Arabidopsis thaliana: one gene and its partners. The protein of the gene in region 2 interacts with the protein of the main gene of each other region in a pairwise test. Each region holds a gene or a part of one and is shown on either strand. Other genes may lie near its edges.

Region 1 (4,878 bases), on a different chromosome or scaffold from region 2:
AAGTTTGTTGCAGTTTCTTTCTATCACTTGCGTGGCTTGTTTCTTGCCTTAAGTTGGCTAATAGTAATTGCTTATGCTTGGTCTACTGTGATTAAGATGAAAGTTGTCTTGTTTGCTTCCTTCCTCTTTGTTGACTTTTAGTTGGATGATTTGGTCATGTCTTGTTGATGAAGATAGTGAATGAAAAAGGTTGGACCATAACTTACTGAGAGATGTTTTGATTGAGAACAAGCAAGTTTGACTTGCTTTTTGCGATGTTAAATCATCTTCTGGCTTAGGTCAATGGACAAGAAATGTCTAGATCCAGTGACAGATTACAGTCTCTGCGTTTGTATGTCTTGAGTTCAGTAATTACTAAGCGAACTTAAAAGTGTTTTACATTGTTTTTCTACGAAACAGTTTCGAGGAAAAAGACTTGAAGCATTCATGCATGTACTTGTTGTTTACTGTTTTTTCCATGCGTGTGACTGACTTGTTGTTCTATTCGGTAGAACGAGCACACACAGAAGCAAAAGACTTGGAGCATTGATGTGAGAATTTAAGAAACTATAATTTCTGGTCCAAAAACTGATGATGAAGAAAAGCAAATGGTTATCAGTTGACTTTAAAAGCTTTGGCCCCTCTTCTTAGCTCACTCAATCTCAGCTACGTTACGTGGATGGATGTGATTTTGACAAGTGGCAACATCATCATCTATGAAGTTTATTGAGCACTGTTTGGACCATAAAAGATGAAATCAGCCAAGACAATTAAAGAGGTGTCCCCATTGTCCTTTACATCTTTTGCAGCCAGTATGATTTAGTTTTTCCAAAATTCAATTTTGTTTTTATTGGTACAATTCGTTGGGCCTTATGATTTTGTCTTATGGTTTATCTTTGTGTTGATGAAGATACTTTCTTCTCTTCCTAGAAGCTTGGAGCCCACCTCAATAAATCCTTTCTTTGCTACCATGGCACACACTAGGATACTCTTTTCTTTGTTTGGTCTGGTAAAATCTCTTTAATGTCACCGTCACCGCCATTACTCGTCTACCTTTCTTGGCAGCCAAAGTTACCTTTGTCGACAACATTTGATCACCTGTAAACTATCCAAACCATGTATGCCACTAAAATTTTGCATAATGGTCAGTAAGTAACAAATTATACAATTCTGATTATGGTCAAATTTTACCTTTTGTGGTATGCTACTAGTTAAAGGGTAACCAAATAGTGGTTTTTACCTCATCAAGTCGCTATTTTGATGGTTAAGTTTCTGTATACTTTTCATCATTCATTGTCTATGTTAGTTTATCTTTGTGAAAAAATAGATTTTGTGATGAATTGACACCAAGAACAGTGGAGCAGCCAGTGGGACTTTCATTAAATGGTAAAGGAACCAGACAAGGAAAGGTTTTTCACCTCCTTTCTTCTTGCTCCCACCACATTAGTGTTTCCTCTCTTCATTTATAAGGGTTCCAAATTTTTACAATGGTTGAAACTCAGTGTTTACCGCGGTCATAGTTTTCTGATACTTTAGAGACAGTGACTATTAGTGTAAAAATGTGTTACCATAAAACTATTGTTGCTTCCACAGGGAGAATTATACCATTTGCAGAGCAATGACTAATTGAATAAACAACAAGTCTAAGCTAATGACATCATTGACAACCAATTAATTACTTGCAACTACTTTGCATTTTCCCTTTTTTTTCCTTCTATAATCAGGGTTTATGAATCATTAAGACTTTTTGCTCTAAGTTACTCCAAATATCATTAATCCTCTGTGTCTGATTTGCTTTTCCCATTATAGTGCCAGCTTCCACTTCTTCACCGCCATCTAACAGCATTTACTATTGTGGAGTTTCTACAAAAAGCTAACTAAAATGTGAAACGAAGAAATCAATAAACACGTTTCCATAAAGTAGTGTAACTTATTAGGGTAACTAGTTGTAGGCAAGACCGTAAGTAAGACAAAACAATAAGAACTTTGTAGCTTTCAAGAAACCATCACTCAATAGGATACCTGTAATAAGAAACCTTGAGCATCTTTTAGACCCTAGTGTAAGATAATTGAGTTTTAGTGAGAAGTGTTTAAAACTTGTAACTAGCTTAAATGGGTTTAGTGCATTTGGGGACTGTCGACAGCGAACCTTGACGCGAGAAAAATGCGGGAAAGTAACAAGAATGGTTTAAATGTCAAAACTGTTAAAGGACCACAAAGTTTGTTTAAGGCTAATGAGAAAAACATTCTTCTCAATGACATTATCCTAAGTTGCAGGGTTATCAAAGTGAGAGCTATTGATAGATGTTGACCTTAAAATTTACTCCAGGTTCTGAAATTCACTGTTTTACTTTTGTGTTGAGAGGTACAATTTCAAGGTAAAGATGGCTACAGTAATTGGGTGCTCTGTTGAGTCTTTAAAAGGAAATCAAGGTGTTGGAGCCACAAAGGTAATAATATCTCTCGACCCCATCCAATTGAATGCCAATCCATGTCAGAGACCGGGAAAAGGGGCGCTTACAGAACCTAAACAGAGACATCTTCTGTTGTGTTTCTCCATCTATATATCAGAGTGACGCCAAGAGAGCAGCTTTTGTGATCATACTGATCATGATCATGTAATGACAACTATCTCATACACTAGGTTATTAAACCGTGGATCAGATTGAAGCTAGCTTTTTCTTCAGTAGATTAGACTAATAACTTGTGTGGGAAAACAATGGGCAGATCGCCATGTTGTGATAAGGCCGGGTTGAAGAAAGGGCCTTGGACTCCAGAAGAGGATCAGAAACTTTTGGCTTATATTGAAGAACATGGCCATGGAAGCTGGCGTTCTTTGCCTGAGAAAGCCGGTAACTTGCTCGCTCTTTTCTCTTCAACAAAACCACACATTTTCTTCTAGCTCTATTCAAAGCTTTGCTTCAAACTCCTTATAGGTCTCCAAAGGTGTGGAAAGAGTTGCAGACTCAGATGGACTAACTACCTAAGACCTGACATCAAGAGAGGCAAATTCACTGTACAAGAAGAACAAACCATCATTCAACTCCACGCTCTCCTCGGAAACAGGTGACTCAATCACAATCTCTGCTTTCAAACCAAATAACCAAGTGATTGCTTTGAAAGCAAATTGATCGTCGTCCTTTAAATGTCATAGGTGGTCAGCGATTGCAACTCATTTACCAAAGAGGACAGACAACGAGATCAAGAACTACTGGAACACACACTTGAAGAAACGTCTGATCAAAATGGGGATAGATCCAGTGACTCACAAGCACAAAAACGAGACTCTTTCGTCTTCCACAGGACAATCAAAGAACGCAGCCACGCTTAGTCATATGGCTCAATGGGAGAGTGCAAGACTCGAAGCTGAAGCAAGGCTAGCTAGAGAATCAAAGCTTCTCCATTTACAGCATTACCAAAACAATAACAACCTTAACAAATCAGCAGCTCCTCAACAACATTGCTTCACTCAAAAAACATCAACAAACTGGACTAAACCAAACCAAGGTAAGGGACACATCGTCTTAAAAAAAACTCTCAACTTTGATTGGTTTTGGTAACGTATCAATGGAAAATTGTGACAGGAAACGGAGACCAACAGCTTGAATCTCCGACATCGACGGTGACATTCTCTGAGAATCTTCTGATGCCTTTAGGAATCCCTACGGATAGCAGCAGAAATAGAAACAATAACAACAATGAGTCCTCGGCGATGATTGAATTGGCCGTATCTTCGTCAACCTCCTCCGATGTGAGTCTGGTCAAAGAACATGAACACGACTGGATTAGGCAGATCAACTGTGGTAGTGGAGGAATAGGAGAAGGATTCACGAGTCTATTGATCGGTGATTCGGTCGGCCGGGGTTTACCCACCGGGAAAAACGAAGCGACGGCGGGCGTGGGGAATGAGAGTGAGTATAACTACTATGAGGATAACAAGAATTACTGGAATAGCATTCTCAACTTGGTTGATTCTTCACCGTCCGATTCCGCGACGATGTTCTGATCTAAGGGTCTTCAACCAAACATTTTTAATTCTCAGATTGTTTTTTAAATGTCGATAGCTTTCCAATACTTTTTACTTATCTTTATTTTCTTTATAAACTATTATATATATATATATATATATATATATGGGATGAAAATGAGCTTAATTTTAGTATTCGTTTTTGCAGAATTGCATGTAGCAAACCTGCAAATCCAATTTACAATTTATATATTATGCTTTTATGTTGTTGGTATACAGTTTGTTAGAAAAATATTTTAAGTGATAACGTCGTTGTCATTTGGCCAAATACATAAACCATAATAAGGGATCCTCCTTCAAATCCTAATACGTTTTTGTTTTGGGAATGAGCTTTCTTGAAAAGCCTATCGGCACAAAGATCCTTTTTAGTATCATTGCTTTGTTCGAATTTAAATTACTAATTTTGGGAATAATTAGGCGCTTTAACTATTGAGTTATAGAAGTTGAGCTTTCCTTAATCTTATATTGATAAGATGTTTCAAAATATAGGATTGGAACCACTCCATAATTCTTTAAAGTTGCTGAGTGCAAGCAATTGAAGGAAATAGATATTCATATTACTTATCCACCGGTTGTGGAGTATTTTTGTCTAATTTTCAAATTTTTCTATATGAGAGATGTCTGAACGAAGAGGCTGTAATTATAACAACAACACGTTGACATGTCGAGTAAAAGAAAGAAAATTCAATGCTTGGTTGTTTCATGTCCTTTTCTTTATCATAAATTTATTTATATACAGTATGATCCATAGTAATAAAACACAGATATTACTAATAGATTCGAGTCCACTAAACTTAAGACATTTTTAACAAAAGGTTACATTACATCCATCGAATTTGATAGTAAATCCTTAATCGTTTACTTAATGTGCA
Region 2 (4,800 bases):
ATATATTATATAAATTTAAATACAATCGAAAACAAAAATTCTTCGTTAAACTCTTTTCAATGCTGTATTTGAAGCTTCCTATTTTTATTATTAAAAATATGTTGTTTCTAAAAAATATATATATATATATATATAAAAATTCTTTTCTTGACTCTACAAAATTTTTGTTTGCTAACAATTTTACCTTCACTGTTTACTATACAAAAAATCTCTGTTTTAGTGAATAATATATGCAACTAAGTTTTTCGCAATAAAAATACAATAAAAAAATTGTAGCTAGCTATAGTCTGGTCACAAACCATAGGAAATGTAGCCTCTAAAAATAAAATCAATAACAAATTTGTACTGATCTTTTTATATCGACATAAATTTGGTGAAAGTCCAAATAACATGTTTTTCGTACCATAATCAACCAAGTGGTGTTCCTTCAACAGATACATAAAACGAGGCAAAATAAAAGTGAACGAGGCAGACAAAGAATTTTCCAAACCTCATTTAAGGGACTAGGTTGACTTTAGTCCTTTACTTTAGAAGAGAGTTGCAGTTTTCATCTATTGTAGGGGTTACACAAAATTTGTTCTTATGTGAGTCCAATTGCCAAATTGTACATCACTCGAAGACAAATTGGGCCCAAACTGTGTAGAATGGGTTTGGGCTGCCAACCCATAATAAACCTTAAGTTGAAAATGAATTAGTTTGGCACATGCTTTTTTTTGTCATGTTCATGCTTTTAAAAAAATTCAAAATTGGCCTAACAAGTTTCACATCTCTAGAATGTTGTTCCTAGCTGGCTAGTTCCACGCACGTGTCACACTATAATTTGTCATTTCGTGAATGAAGAAATCATTCCAACACTTTTGTTATTTTGATAACCATACAAGGAATAACACGTGAAGGAATTTAGGAAACGAGAGATTCTAGAGAAGTCACCTAGTTTTGTATTTAAAAAAGGTGCTCAAAATTAGAAAAATATCGAATTTTGTTGAAAAAGGGAAAAATAAACAAAGACAAAGTAGTAAATAGAAACTTGGGCATGAAGCTAAGGATATGACTGGTCGCCGAGAATTAATAACCACACAGTATTATTACAAAAAGTATACAAACCGAAACTTCTCGCGGTGATGATGAAACCTCAACGCAATGTTATCGTCACATCAATTTGATTCCTCATTATAGTATGAATGAAAAAGCAGATTAAACAGAAAATACATAAAGAGCTCTATAACTCAATAGGAAATATTTACCACTCACCTATGTTTTTCTTACACTTTCACTCTAATTTATTTTGACAAAAGAAAAATTGTATTATATTATTTAAAGACTTGACTTTCTCTTTAATATTTTACTGTTTTTTATATTTAAAGCAATATAAAAAATTATCATCATTTTAATTAAATTTATTATCCCTACCATTTTACCAAACCAACTCAGTAATAAACTCATTTCATACACATATTTGACAAATATGTCGACTGTCAGAATCTAGAATACTATTTGTCAAATGAAAGTGATTACATTATGAGATAACGATAGAAATATCCACATCTCTCCTGATCACCAGTCAACATATCTTTTATTAACGAATTGACTGGTAGTTTAAGACGCTAATTATCCTTTGCTCTATAATACCATTTCAATCGATATTTTAACTAATTATATACTATTAGAAATGAAATGACAAATCTGCCGAAAGCTTTTTTCTTTTTAATATTTTGTCAAAAGAAGACACACAAAAAAAAAGTAAATTGTATTAGAAAAAATCCAAGACAGAGAAAAAAGTAAACGCGTAGACAGATGGCGACAGGAGAAAGAGAGAGTGGAGAAGAAGAAAAGAATTGCGATCAAAGAAAATTAGACTTCTTTCTTCCAACGTTTTCACATTACAAATACACAAAAACCAAAAGATAAAGAAAAACAAGAAATATTTTGTTTTTCGATCTGAAAAAGTGAAAGCTTCTTCAAAATCTTTGCTTTAGAGATCGTTTGGTGATTTTTTTTCTTTATTTTTTTTTTATAGTTTCTTCTTCTTGATTCTTTCATATGGATGGACATCAGCATCATCACCTTCACCAGCTTCAATATCTCAACAAGCATCATCTTCATACTCAATCGCAAACGCCGGAAATAGCCTCTCCGGTAGCTGTTGGGGATAGGTTTCCACAGTGGAGCGTCGAAGAGACAAAAGAGTTGATAGGGATAAGAGGAGAGCTAGATCAAACTTTCATGGAGACAAAACGGAACAAGCTTCTTTGGGAAGTTATCTCTAACAAGATGAGAGACAAAAGCTTTCCTCGTAGCCCTGAACAGTGCAAGTGCAAGTGGAAGAACCTCGTCACTCGTTTTAAGGTCTATTCTCTCTCTCCCTCTTCTTTCATTTTGTGGATGTTTTATAATCTTGGAGGTCTTGCATGGAACAAATAAATAAATAAAAATTTGTAACCAAGAAATATTGAATCTTATAGTCCATAATCTTTCCGGGACATATAGACAAACACCATTGTAAATATTTCTGAATCTTGTTGTCCATAATCTGCTAAGTAGTTTAATTATATGTATACAATCTCATTGGTGATGTATTGCTTGATGTTTCTAGGGATGTGAGACAATGGAGGCAGAGACAGCGAGACAACAGTTCCCTTTTTATGATGATATGCAAAATATATTTACCACTAGAATGCAGAGAATGCTATGGGCTGAATCCGAGGGAGGAGGAGGGGGAACAAGCGGGGCAGCGAGAAAGAGAGAGTATTCTTCAGATGAGGAAGAAGAGAATGTGAATGAAGAGCTAGTAGATGTCAGCAACGACCCAAAAATTCTAAATCCGAAAAAGAACATTGCAAAGAAGCGAAAAGGCGGTAGTAATAGTAGTAATAGCAATAATGGTGTAAGAGAAGTGTTGGAAGAGTTTATGAGACATCAAGTGAGAATGGAGAGCGAGTGGAGAGAAGGATGGGAGGCTAGGGAGAAGGAAAGAGCAGAGAAAGAAGAAGAATGGAGAAGGAAGATGGAGGAGCTTGAGAAGGAGAGGTTGGCAATGGAGCGGATGTGGCGGGATAGAGAGGAGCAACGGCGGTCGAGGGAGGAGATGAGAGCAGAGAAGAGGGATTCACTTATCAATGCATTGCTTGCTAAGCTTACTAGAGATGGTTCCCTCTAATCTTTTGTCAGCTTTGCTTAACCTAAATTAACTTGTTCTTATATGCTTGTTTGGGGTGTAGTGTAGGTACAATTATTTGGTGGGGGAAGATAATATCTACGGCAAATCTCAACACTCATATATTGATTGATATGATGACATATTTGAGTTTTAGTGAGGCTTTAGTAATTTATCATCCCCACATTATTTCTTCCTAGTTTATATTTTGGCGAGCCAAATTCTTATAGCATATCATTTAATCTTAGTAGTATACTGGTTTTAATTAGTAATTTGTAGGACCGTATGTGTAGTATTTTAGAGTAATTTGGATTTTGTTAGAGTTAACCTACAAATCCATATATAGTGCAGCGAATGTAATATCGGTTTCAAATATTATCTTCATGCAGAAGAGAACGAGGATACTAATAGTTTATGGTATTATGAACTAATTAACTTTGATGAGAATGTAGAGATCAAGAGGGCAAAACAGTTAGTGGAAATATTAAACATGCTCGAAACAAGAATGAAAACTTATCCTATGAATTATGGGATCATTTAGGTCCATTGTCTGCGATCTAAACTTTTATTATTTTACCATAAATGTTTTCTTGTAACATTGAGAATCATATCTAACATGGCAAGATAATACGTGAATGCGTATGGCGTTTCTTATCCACATAAATTTGTTTTACTTATGTTTTTTTTTTGTTTTCCACATAAAGATTAGTAAAGATCTTGTATTATTTTATTTGTAAATTTATATTTATATAATTATATACTAAGGAGATGCTTAATGAATAAAATACACATCACATGTTAATTCTAGAAAATACGTTAACCAGTTTTTTTTTGGTAACATTGTTGTTTCTTTATTTATTTACTAGCTATGAACTCATGCGTGGATTTATTTGTAAAAAATTTAACAGTTTTTTGTGTGACTAAAATATTTTATTGAAAATTTTGAAAATATGATTTTATATATCTATTTGTTGTTAATATTATAAACTCTTTGAATTTTAAAATTATCATGACAAATAGTAACAATTTAAATACATAACTAGAAATAACCTTTATACAACTCTTAGATTTTACAACATTTAGCAAAAGAACATTTTTTTGGTTAATGACTCTCTCTTTAGCTTTAGATATTTAGGATAACGACGTCTTTTTTTACGTATTAAATAAATTGTTGTATAGGAAATAGATTCGACGATTCTCATTTTGGTACCCGCAAATTTACTATTGTTTTTCGTTTATCTTCGCTGCATTAGTTAGTATAGCTCTTCTAAAAATAAGATATTTTGTAGAAATATATTCGTAAGTTTATCTACACTTTCTTTTAACAACTCATATTTTTCTCACATTCTTTTCAATATGTATATGAATTTCTTTCACAATTTTTTTTACAGAGAGCTATGACTCTCCCTATCTTTTTGCAAAAACTCGTTTTATTTGTTTCATTTTTTCTTACAGTGTCTCTTTCATCCTCTTATGATTTTGTCTAAGCAATATGTGCCATACCTTCTTAAATTTTCACATGCTCCATATTTCTTCTTCGAAAATCTCTTCCTTTTCTTGTTAGTATAAGCATTTTTCAATCTCGTCAAGATGTACTCTGTTTTGTTTTCTGTTATTCTAAGAAAACGTTTTAGCTTCTAAATTGA
Region 3 (4,217 bases), on a different chromosome or scaffold from region 2:
ATAATTTGTAGACAAATAAACATGTAAGCAAGTGCAAGTTGTACGGCAGCAATATATAAAACGAAAGTTGGTACTAAAGACGAAATTATTGGAAAAAAAAATAATAAATGTTATTGCGAACAGCCTAGATCTTGACCACCGATAAAACAAGAGAAGAAAGTTGATTTTTGGGTTTGAATAAAGTGGTTTCAATTTTCATTAGGCCAAAAAGTAAAAACTTAATAGGCTCAAGTTTGTAAAATAAACTTCTAATTTGTGATGATCACTCTTGTGATGTGTTATGTGTTAAACTCCAAACGTTTTTGAATGATTGTATGTGTTGACTTTTAACAGTGTATGCGTTGACTAAGTGATGTACAGTAATGAGACGGGGAAAATCATACTAATATTTCCTTCCGACAACTTTATCTGTACTATGCATAGTACTTTTGAGACAACTTTATCTGAATTTTGTATAGTATACTTTTGGGTTGTGATATATTTTCTCGTTTGATTTTTCTTTTCAACTAAATAATATGCAAACCAAATCCGCTTTCGCCATAAGAAAACAACTAAAAGGTTAAATTTACCCGAGAGTGTATTAATGTTGAATAGCCATATAGGCTATAGTATGTATATGGCTGAAAATAGCTTATGCGATTTCTTGAAGAGAGAGAAAAGGTTAAATCCGAGAGTGTTTTACTCATCAATGTCATTGTCATTCTACATATACAACGTAACAAAGAAAAGCGAGAAAAACTTAATCCGACGAGTCACCAAGGTCAAAACACCTAACACCCACTTATACACTCATTACGTGGAAACATAAAAGATATACTACCAATCATCCTGCTCCTGCACTAACAATCATCTCGATGATTATGAGAGTAGGGTAACGAGGGAAACGAATTCAAGGGTAACTCTTCCCTTTGATCTCGTGTTGATGACGAAATGCTCCGGGTATTTTCTCAGCAGCATCAGCAAACCGTACCATGGTTTACCTTTTGCTTCAGGGATAGCCCAGTCTTCTTGTGATAGGTATCTTCTTACTCGACTGTGATGCCATACGTTTCCATACTCCTTTAATATCTGTCACAGACCAACCACTACCATGCATTAGCTGCAAAAATTGTTGATCATCAGCTTCACGATCTGCCTTTGATCTTCCCTCTCTCTTCTTCTCTGCACAAATGAAGCAGATACAATGTCGTGGTGTCACTATCATTCAATCTAAGTCTAACAAGGTTCAATCATCAACCACCACAGTAAAACTTATACTCAAAGTCTAGAACAAGCCTGAAATCTATTTAGTGACACAATGAAGTTAAGCTATCATGAGCAATTTGGTTTTACCTCCAGAGGCATATACTCCTTCATGTCCATCTCTCCATGTTTTCTTTCCACTGCCTCTGATATCCTCCTCTTCATCGTCGTCTTCATCATCGTACTCATACAACTCTCTACTCCGGACGCCATTCTTACCCGACCCGGAACCTGGACCCGAATGATAATTATGGTACGGAACAACAGTAGCCTTCCCTAAGACGTGGTGCCTGGGTCCCAATGGACCGCCTAGGATACTCCAAACCGGAAGCAGGAAGTAGAACTCCTTGTCACCAATCTGCAAAAGGTCCTGTGAATCGAGCTTGACGTTGGGGTTCCCAGGGAGATGGAGGACACCTTCAACGAAGCAGCCATTTTTGCCAAGTACCTCGAGAGAGAAGCGTCGTCTAGTGAAGTCATAGAAGATCCGAGCGTGGTTGCGAGAAATGTTCATCCCACCGCCGAGAGATGAGAGGTCGACGTCGACGGTCGATTTCTTAGAATTCCGGCCGAGAATAATGGAGTAAGACTGCATATAGTACTCGAAATCCTCACCTTGGAGCTTCGCAAATCCAACCTCTACATCGCTCCCGCTTCCAACGGCTGTAGCCATGCCGTGAAATTTCTCCGATTTTGAAGTCGGAGATCAAATTTGGGGTTACATAGTAATAGAATGTGTTTGGAAACCGGTTTAGATATGTTGTGGTTAAACCGTACAATGAAAAATATAAAGGCTTCTCAAGTAAATGACTATTATACCCATCATGTTTTCAGCCTCTCCACTGTCAATGTTACGGGCCTTACGGCGATCAAATCAAAACGGGCAGTTTGTTTCCACGGCTAACAAAAGAAACAGCTTTAGTTGGGCCTTATCTAAAAAGCATCAGCCCATTAACGTGAACCGGATCTTATGTACATAAACCCAGTAGTATGTAATATTCGGGGATAAGCATGACATTGACATGAATATGGATCATGTGATAACCGTAAGGCTTGAAATTATGATGATAAAATATGATGAAAAGTTCATAAGAATATCGTCACATTTTTGTCAAAGAAATAGCAAAGTCAAGAATGGTTTTCTTTTTCTAGAATCTTTGCTTTACATTTTGTTAAACATTTAATCAACCGAAAAAATCACAACGAGAAAAGAACATTTGCTATATTCCACAGTGTATTCGCAGAATCTTCCTTTGTTTTTCTTGTCAACAATTCAAATAGTCTCAATCCTCTTTCCACTTTCCAGGTGCAATTCATGCAAGAGTAAGGCTGGAACTTGTGATAGCCAAGCTATAATAAAGCAACTTCAACAAGCTATTCCACTATTCGAATAAAGACACGAGTCATCTATCTACTCAACATAATTCTTTACAGCCATTTGTCATCTAGCACGTGCCCATGAAGCCAGCCAAACATGAACCACGTCGACACACATCAGATGAGAATAACCGTTACGGCGTCATTTGCTGACCTGGACTGTCTAACCTATTGCACTGTCTCTCGAAGATGGTCGCCACATGTCAATCCCGGGGTCGTGTTTATGCTCGAGATTCGCGGAGTCAGATACGAACACAAGAATTCAAAACACCCAACGTGTCCTCGTCAAAGCCAGCAGGATCTCAGTGTACACGTGTTAACTGTTTCCATGCACGTGTTACACGTGGCGTCTCGGTACTTTTCGTCAAAATTTTACTTGATTTTTACAACCAATGGAAATAGAAACCAACAAAATAAATGGAAAGCGTTTATCGATAATCCGAAATTGTAGCGCTAATAAAGTTTCTTAACCTTTCTCTTAGTGAATTTTGAAACCGCCCATGTCCACTATCCTTATCGGACATGTGTCATGTTCCGAAGCCTTTACCATTCTCTTTTTAATTATCTCCGCCCCTTATAATATTCCTTTCTCATACAACAAAGTTGGCGAAGCTTCAAAACCCTTCAAGAGGAAAATTTTGCGGAAGACAAGAGACCATCTTTTTGACATTATATGTTTGTTGAATCTTTATCAATGGCAGAAAAGTTTGTAGAAGATGAGAATGTGGAGGTCGAGCTCGAGCTCGAGCTATGTCTTTCCCTGGGAGGTCCTTTCAAGAAAACGGAGAAATCTAAAACATTTGGACAATCTAACGCCGTCGGATTCGAGAAGGATAACGGCGTTAATCTTGACGGCAGAACGACGAATGTGACGAGGATAAAGGAAACACGGAAGAAGCGGGAGGCGAAGCAGCAGCAGAGAAGCGGAGAAGAAGGAGAGTGCAAGAGGATCAGAACAGAATATAACGGAGTTAGTAACGGCGATGATATGGATTTGAGCTCTATCAACATGTGTAACGGTTACGGGTCGGGTCGACTCAAGGAAAGCAGTAAAGACGTTACGATTGGGTCACCCATTTGCACCTCCTCCTCCGTATCCGATCCTAGCAGCTCTTCTCGCCAAGAAGGTATATAACAACCTTCTTTTAAAAATAAACTAAAATTGGTTGGTATATGTATATAGTTTTTTTTTAGTATATAATTCGATGTGTTGATTCTGTTAAAGAATCACGAAAATTATGCTATTTGCATGTAGATGATTTTGAATTATGGTTAATGTTCAGGTGGAAGTGGCGACATTGGGGCACAATCTGGCCAAACCAAACAGGTTAGATCTCCGGTTAACAACATTCTGACCGGTACAGAGCAAACCGTGCATAACACAGACGGTTCAAAAGACGCGGAGACCCAAGAATGGTCCAACTCTTCTGTAACCAAAGAGAGTGGGAAGCCGCCAAAACCGCATACCAACAGTAACGGTAACGGCAGTTTGCTTCCGTTTGCTCAGATGCCTTGCGTGACTAGCACCGGTAACGGTCCCGAGGGCAAAACCGTAAATGGTTTTCTATACCGTTACTCAAAATCAGAGATCAGTATAA
Region 4 (6,491 bases), 610 kb from region 2:
ATTCTTTCGAAAACTAACCTAGCATACTCTAATCCACCTGATTTTGCATACATGTCTACAAGTGCAGTACCTAGTCTACAGTTTAACTCTAACTCTCTTACCATCACCTGTGAATGCACCAATTTCCCCAAGCTCAAGTTACCGCCACAAGCCGAAAGCAAAACCACCATTGTCGTCTCATCTGGACAAAACCGCTTACCAATCATCTCACAAAAACACTCAAACACCAAATTTAACTTACCATTCTCAACAAGAGCAGTCATAATCGAGTTCCAAGAAACAACATTTCTCTCAGTCATTTCGTCGAACACCTTCCTGGCATCAGAAGTTTTCTTACAAGTACCATAAAGATGGATCAAATTGTTCCCAACATATACATCAAAATCAAACCCATGTTTCAAAACCTCAACTTGAATCTGTCTCCCAGCAGTGAGACCTAAAAACGAAGCACAAGCCTTGAGAAGAAAAGGAAAAGTGAGCTTATTAGGTTTGATTCCTCGTCTCTTCATCTCAGAGTAAACCCAAATCGATTCCACAGGAGAATCACTTGAAGAATAGCCTCTACTGAGCATATTCCAAGTAGAAGGAGTCGAATCTGAAGAGTGAAGCAGAAGGGTTCGCGCAAAGGCAAGGTCTTTGGCGAGGGATAGTGATGAAACCCGTACAAGCTCGCTGATGATAAAGCTGTCATTTTGGAGAGAGGAGAGATGGATTTGACCATGGATCTGTAGAAGGTGTTTAATTGAGGAACATAGCTTGAGGAAGATAAGACATTGGTGTTTCCTGGATTTGAAGCATGAATCTGAACTCCAAATCATTATGCCATTGGAGCTCTTAGAAATCGCAAAAAGTTTCAATTTTCAAATCGGTGATATATTTATAGATTTGGAACGGTTTTAACGGAACCGAAGTAAAATCAAAAGCTTATTCGGTTCGGTTTAATGTGAAATTGATATTTATCAACCAAAACATATCATCTTTACAAGGTCAGTAATATACAGAAGATTACACTTTCTCTCTGATTCTGAGATGGGTGTCAGAGGTTTTGGTTAGGAGGATCAATCTCTGATTAGAGTGTTGTTGTTTCCATTTCAAAGCTCTGATCATGAAAATTTCCTCCATGAATGTTCTTCTCGCTTCTAATCTCTGAGAACCAAAACCATGGTCGTGGGAAGATCCATGAATGATGTATCACAATCATGTGAGATGCAGATTCTGCAGAGCATGATTACAACTGTGAGTTCATGATCATGTTTCATGAAAACTAAAGGCTTTATATTAATATACTAACCAAATCAGGGAGGTGTTTATTAATCTGAATCTTCTTCACTCTCTTCTTCAGACTCGGAGCTAAGGAAACGAGCTGAGCTTCTGAGGGAAAATGATTTGTTACTCTTTGGAATCTTCGTTCTCTTTTGTTTTGTTGCAAAACCTTTCGCCACTAGTGTATCAAACAAATCTCCCATCTCCATTTTCTTTCTCAAACCATCATGTTCGTCCATGAACCTTCAGAACAATAAACATAAGACTGGGAAATATCAGATTCTAACACTAATAAAGACAATGTAAATATCAAAGGCCTGTTTCACTCGATAACATTCATTTGCTTGATCCGTTAGAGGAAACAACAGATGAATACTTCTATAGACAAGTGAAAACATCGATGCAGCAATAATTGGATCAAGCAACACCTTTCACGTATTGCTTTGAAGGCGTCTCTAGTTGCATAAGGAAGACCCGTTTTTGGATCCCGGTACCTGTATCAGCAATACACACAACAGCTAAGAACTAGTTCTAAAATTGCAGAGAAAAGATAATCAGGTTTCTAGGTTATAACATCATTTCTTTTCGAGAAGTATATATCAAAGAAACTGATAACTTCTTTTTAGTAGACCTAAGAGAGTCTACTTGTGTTCATCCCAGAGATCTTGTTCTTCCGATGAATAAAGAAGAAGAACAGAAAAACTCTTACTTGGCAGGTAATCCCGTAATCACACATACAGCTTTTTCTGGATCTGGAAAAGAGAAAACAAACCAAAAGAAAGACAGAGATCAGTATAGATCAATATGAACACATTTATGTTCATCTCCAAACACCACTCAAAATTACTTACAGGGAACAGACTTCGTCGACAACTCTGAATTGAATGACGCACCATTACAGAATTCTAAATAGTTACATCCTGCATGTAAAGTTAAAAGTTTAAACAAATATAGTTCTTACTTTTCTGGAAAGATCCAATTAGACTGGATTACTATTTTACTGGAGAGCTTACCATCTTTTGAATGATACCGAATCTGAGGACCCTTGTAGACTGCTTTATGCACAATCGCTTTCTTTTTTACTTCTTCTTCCCTTGCCAAGACACGTTCTAAATTCCTCAAGTTCATGATTTCTGCAAGAACCTGACTTTAGCAATTTTGAGTTTCTGATAGAGCAAATCAGATGCAGCATCATAAAAGCCAAACCTGTTTGAGCAGCTTCCAGCAGCATTTCTTCTTGGGTCATCCGTTTTTCCTCCCCTACTTTTTTCCTTTGTATTGGCTGAACAAACACAAAAAAGAATTCAACATGGCAAGACTTAGAAAAGAGATTAAAGTGTAGCCATGAATGTAAATAGCTAGTGGGGATGAGTTCTGAGAAACCTTTGTTGTTGCTTGTATAGCAGCACGCAATGCATCTCTTTCTGCTTGCCGTACAACCACTGAAGTCCGTGTTGATTTCCTAATGACTTTCTCACCTTCCATATCTTCTTGTGCTTCATTCTCTTCTTTTTCTTCTTGTTCCTTGTTTCCCAATTCTTCACCTGGCTTCTCATCTCCAGGAATATATTCTAGTTGTGAAACTACCTTCGTCTTCTTTTTCTTTTTCTTTGAAGCAGTTTTCCCAGGGTAAATCAGCCGCTTCTTTGGCAGATCCCTACAACAATATGCAAAATTGTAACAAAATTAAAACAGACACACATAATAGCCATCATAAGACAAGCTTTGAAAAAATTCAAACCTCAATTCTTTTTCATTTACAGCGACTGCATCAGGCTCAGGCTCCTAATCCCAAACAAAAGGCAAAAGAAAGAAATTAAAAAGAATGGAAATATAAGCAAAAACCTTGATGAATAAGTACTCAATACATAAGCAAGACATAAATACATCGTCATTGAAGTCACTGTCAAACTCATCAGCAACCTCACGTTCTGCTTCATATTCATCATCATGTTCTTCCTGCAGATAACAAAAGTAAAGAGATACATAAATGTCAGCAAACACACGAAAGTTTCTGCGATAGTATCTTGTCTACAAATCTGATTTTTTTCCATTATATATTTTGACATCTAGTCTACCTTAACAAATCATTAACATCTCTTTAAGAGAGTAAGCTATATATAAAACAAAACAAACCTCTTTAAGAGCTTCTTGATTCCAAAACTGTTCATCTTCTTCTACTTCGTCATCAAGCAACTTGGTCATCCTGAAAAAAAACAGAAAACTGATGAATAAAGCTTCCACAAGAGAGTTTCTGATACATCTCAATAACAGTGAGACAAAACCACAATCTTCAGGTGAAACACATTCATCAGGTAAAAGCTTAAGCTCAAGTAATTCTTACCGTTTACCCCGTGTTGCTCTTGTTGTACGGTCCAAGAACACCATTGGCTCTTCTTCATCGATTTCCATTGATAACTTGCTCAACTCTTACTTCTACAAGTTCACAAATTTAAACGAAAATGTCATAACACACAAATTAACAAATCAGCAAGGAACCCCCAAATTAGGGTTTCTCGCAATTTCAAGACTTTACGATTATATCGAGAGGGAAACAGGAACAAAAACCCAAAATTTGAGTGATGTACACAGTAATCGAAGAAGAGCCCATGAAAGCGAGAATGAAAAGTAATTTGTGTGATGAGCTTAAAATCTCGCTCGAGGAGTTACCTTCGGAAAATTTTAGGTTGGAGAAGTTTCTTCGACGAGCACACGTCTTCGCCGGCGACCGCCGCACCTCTTTGATTCACTCTTTCACACACGGTGCCGCTGGTTCGTACACCATTGTTATTGGACTTGAGATATTAATGGGCCTTCCACTTAGACATTTTCAAAGCCCATATTATATTAGAAGATTCTTTTTGTAAAATAAAACTTACAATGATAGACCGCTGGGGAAAAACGTTTTATTTTTATTTTTATTAATGACCTTGAGTAATTTCTTTTTACACTGGCATATATAAAATTTTAAATTAAATTTACGATGAAAAATCGTAACGTAAATAATACCAAAAAAGAAAGATGTTAAGATATATAAATCGGTTAACAAAATTGTCCAGAAATGGTAATATCATAGATAGATTTCAATTTTCAAGTCATGCATGATGTCATTTTGGATATAACACGAGTTGTCAACTTGTCATGATCGAGAAAGCAAAAGTAAACAAACAAAAAGTGTTTCTACACTCCTCTAAACTCCAAGGAGCAAGCAATATCGAAGTTGCGATCTCATGCAGGACCACTGGAGAAGGTTTCTACACTCTTCTAAAGCTACAGAAAAAAAAAAAGTATATAAGAAATTGTGTTTTTTTCTTCAATTTGAGTGTACGAATTCGAATGCTTAATAAGTATGTACTAACTAAGATGTTAGTATAAGATTCGATAATAGAGACAATTTCAAATAAAACTATCATAAATTGTTCTTGAACAAAGAGAAGTAATCGAGAACAAACGTCACAATCATTTTTTTTGGGTAATACAAAAGAAAAGTTACAATCTAAGAAAAGTTACAATCATTTCTTGGGTTGTTCTAATTGCATTATGTCTTGTAGCAAGAATGTGATGTTGGAATGAGAAGAGCCTCCTTCTTCCACAGCCTTGTGAGCTAATTCTCCAAGCTCTTTCACTCTTTTTCTTCTCTCCTTAGCATCATTACTATCACCCATCAATTCCTCCACTGCCTTCTTTACTCCTTCTTTATCCACCAGTACTCCTATTTTCTCCTCTTCTCCCCATCTCATGGACTCTTCAACCCCAGCTCTCACACCGGCTTTTAGTATCTGCACCGCCAATTTCTCATTGCAGAATTGGTCTCCAAACAGTGGCCACGTGAGTAATGGAACGCCTGAAGTGATTCCTTCAAGAGTAGAGTTCCATCCACAATGTGTCAAGAATCCTCCAACGGCAGGATGTGTAAGGATAAGCATTTGAGGCGACCATCCTGTTATGAGAAGGCCTCTTTCTTTGATTCTTTCCTTATAACCGCTCTCTGAGATCCATTCAAGTAACTCGTTATACTTCTCCCAACCTCTTATGACCCAAATGAAAGGTCTTTGGGATTCCTCGAGGCCTAAGCCGAGCTCTTTGAGCTGAGACAGAGGAAGATTGCATATACTTCCAAGGCAAACATATAGCACCGACCCTTCTTCTTTAGAATCAAGCCATTTAATACACTCGTCTTGATCAATGTCCGCCTTGTTTCCCCTCTCAGCTTGGTCTTCTCCTAACTTGTTGCACAAGGAAACCGGTCCGATGCTCCATATCTTACCCGCTTTAACCTTCTTGTAGTCTCTAACATAAGCTGGCTCGAGCTCTTCAAACGTGTTAACAATCACACCATAAGAAGTGTTATCCCCTTCTGTCATTCCGTCAAGGAAGTCTTTCCAATCTCCAGCAACTAATACCATTGGAAGCTGAGATTTTGTGAACTCAACTCTGTCAGGGAAATTAGGAATGGGGAAGTATTCCTTGTCAGACTCTATAGTTTCCAAGAACTCGTGGTTTTGGTGCATTATGTGCGTACAAAGAAGATTGAAGCAACACATGCCATGAAAGATGATTTTTGGTATACCAAGATTCTTGGCAATTCTGTTTGTATAAGGCAAACACATGTCAGCGATTATGCAGTTTGGCCTAGGTTGAATCTCTTTCAAGAGCTTCTCGACTGGTTCCTCGAGCAGGCTAAATGCTTTGAAGAAGGTTAATGAAGCCCCCAATGAATCGAGCAAGTCCAAATTCTCCTGTCCTTCCGGTGAACCCGATTCTTGAGATGGAAACTTTACTTGCACGAGATTGATGGGCAAGCCGGATTGGATAGCCCGGCTAAGAACGTTCTTGAACCGGCCTGCGTTTTGAGGTGTAGTGACAATGGTTATAGTCACCCCGCGCTGAGCCAGGAGCCTTGCAATATCTACCATTGGGATCATGTGGCCTTGAGCCATGAAAGGGAAGAGAACAAAATGAAGAGGAGGACGAAATTCCGATGCCATGAGGAACTCTCTTCTAAGGTTTATTTTTTTTGCTTTGGTTCCGATAATGTGTGTGTTTCTCTGTGCCTACATATATTAAGATGTGATGTAAGAAAGAACAAAAGGAAATTGGCTTATTATTCGTAATAGTTACAAAACACACTAAGTGGTTCACAGTACATATCGTGGCGGGCACTCATATGTTCTTTTGTATTCATATAAGCCCAAAATTTTAAGAGAAAATATCTTTTAGCTAGAGGT

What was found.
Region 1: the proteins of AT2G38250 (region 2) and MYB106 interact in a two-hybrid assay, tested with the Arabidopsis thaliana proteins (one large-scale study listed by BioGRID).
Region 3: the proteins of AT2G38250 (region 2) and AT3G07260 interact in a two-hybrid assay, tested with the Arabidopsis thaliana proteins (one large-scale study listed by BioGRID).
Region 4: the proteins of AT2G38250 (region 2) and SWC2 interact in a two-hybrid assay, tested with the Arabidopsis thaliana proteins (one large-scale study listed by BioGRID).

What each region holds. Positions count from the first base shown.
Region 1 is NC_003074.8:45,726-50,603, reverse strand, and holds MYB106 (myb domain protein 106), read left to right. Parts: upstream 1-2,307; 5' UTR 2,308-2,460; coding exon 2,461-2,597; exon of another isoform or gene 2,598-2,698; coding exon of another isoform or gene 2,699-2,706; coding exon 2,707-2,831; exon of another isoform or gene 2,832-2,915; coding exon 2,916-3,045; exon of another isoform or gene 3,046-3,133; coding exon 3,134-3,486; exon of another isoform or gene 3,487-3,563; coding exon 3,564-3,985; 3' UTR 3,986-4,208; downstream 4,209-4,878. UniProt on the Arabidopsis thaliana protein: Functions as a repressor of epidermal cell outgrowth and negatively regulate trichome branch formation. Acts both as a positive and a negative regulator of cellular outgrowth. Promotes both trichome expansion and branch formation.
Region 2 is NC_003071.7:16,016,344-16,021,143, forward strand, and holds AT2G38250 (Homeodomain-like superfamily protein), read left to right. Parts: upstream 1-1,866; 5' UTR 1,867-2,040; coding exon 2,041-2,346; intron 2,347-2,593; coding exon 2,594-3,157; 3' UTR 3,158-3,813; downstream 3,814-4,800.
Region 3 is NC_003074.8:2,307,402-2,311,618, reverse strand, and holds AT3G07260 (SMAD/FHA domain-containing protein), read right to left. Parts: upstream 2,011-4,217; 5' UTR 1,916-2,010; coding exon 1,333-1,915; intron 1,162-1,332; coding exon 989-1,161; 3' UTR 636-988; downstream 1-635. Other genes in the region: AT3G07255 (nuclear transport factor 2/RNA recognition motif protein), read left to right, coding at 3,293-3,746, 3,903-4,217. UniProt on the Arabidopsis thaliana protein: May play a role in the control of plant organ development. Does not show transactivation activity in yeast.
Region 4 is NC_003071.7:15,405,756-15,412,246, forward strand, and holds SWC2 (DNA binding protein SWC2), read right to left. Parts: upstream 4,158-6,491; 5' UTR 3,934-4,157; intron 3,700-3,933; 5' UTR 3,676-3,699; coding exon 3,608-3,675; intron 3,470-3,607; coding exon 3,400-3,469; intron 3,223-3,399; coding exon 3,151-3,222; intron 3,049-3,150; coding exon 3,005-3,048; intron 2,921-3,004; coding exon 2,647-2,920; intron 2,546-2,646; coding exon 2,470-2,545; intron 2,397-2,469; coding exon 2,277-2,396; intron 2,184-2,276; coding exon 2,115-2,183; intron 2,016-2,114; coding exon 1,973-2,015; intron 1,758-1,972; coding exon 1,692-1,757; coding exon of another isoform or gene 1,616-1,691; exon of another isoform or gene 1,507-1,615; coding exon 1,311-1,506; 3' UTR 1,292-1,310; intron 1,216-1,291; 3' UTR 867-1,215; downstream 1-866. Other genes in the region: AT2G36730 (Pentatricopeptide repeat (PPR) superfamily protein), read right to left, coding at 1-818; UGT73C1 (UDP-glucosyl transferase 73C1), read right to left, coding at 4,776-6,251. UniProt on the Arabidopsis thaliana protein: Component of the SWR1 complex which mediates the ATP-dependent exchange of histone H2A for the H2A variant H2A.F/Z leading to transcriptional regulation of selected genes (e.g. FLC) by chromatin remodeling.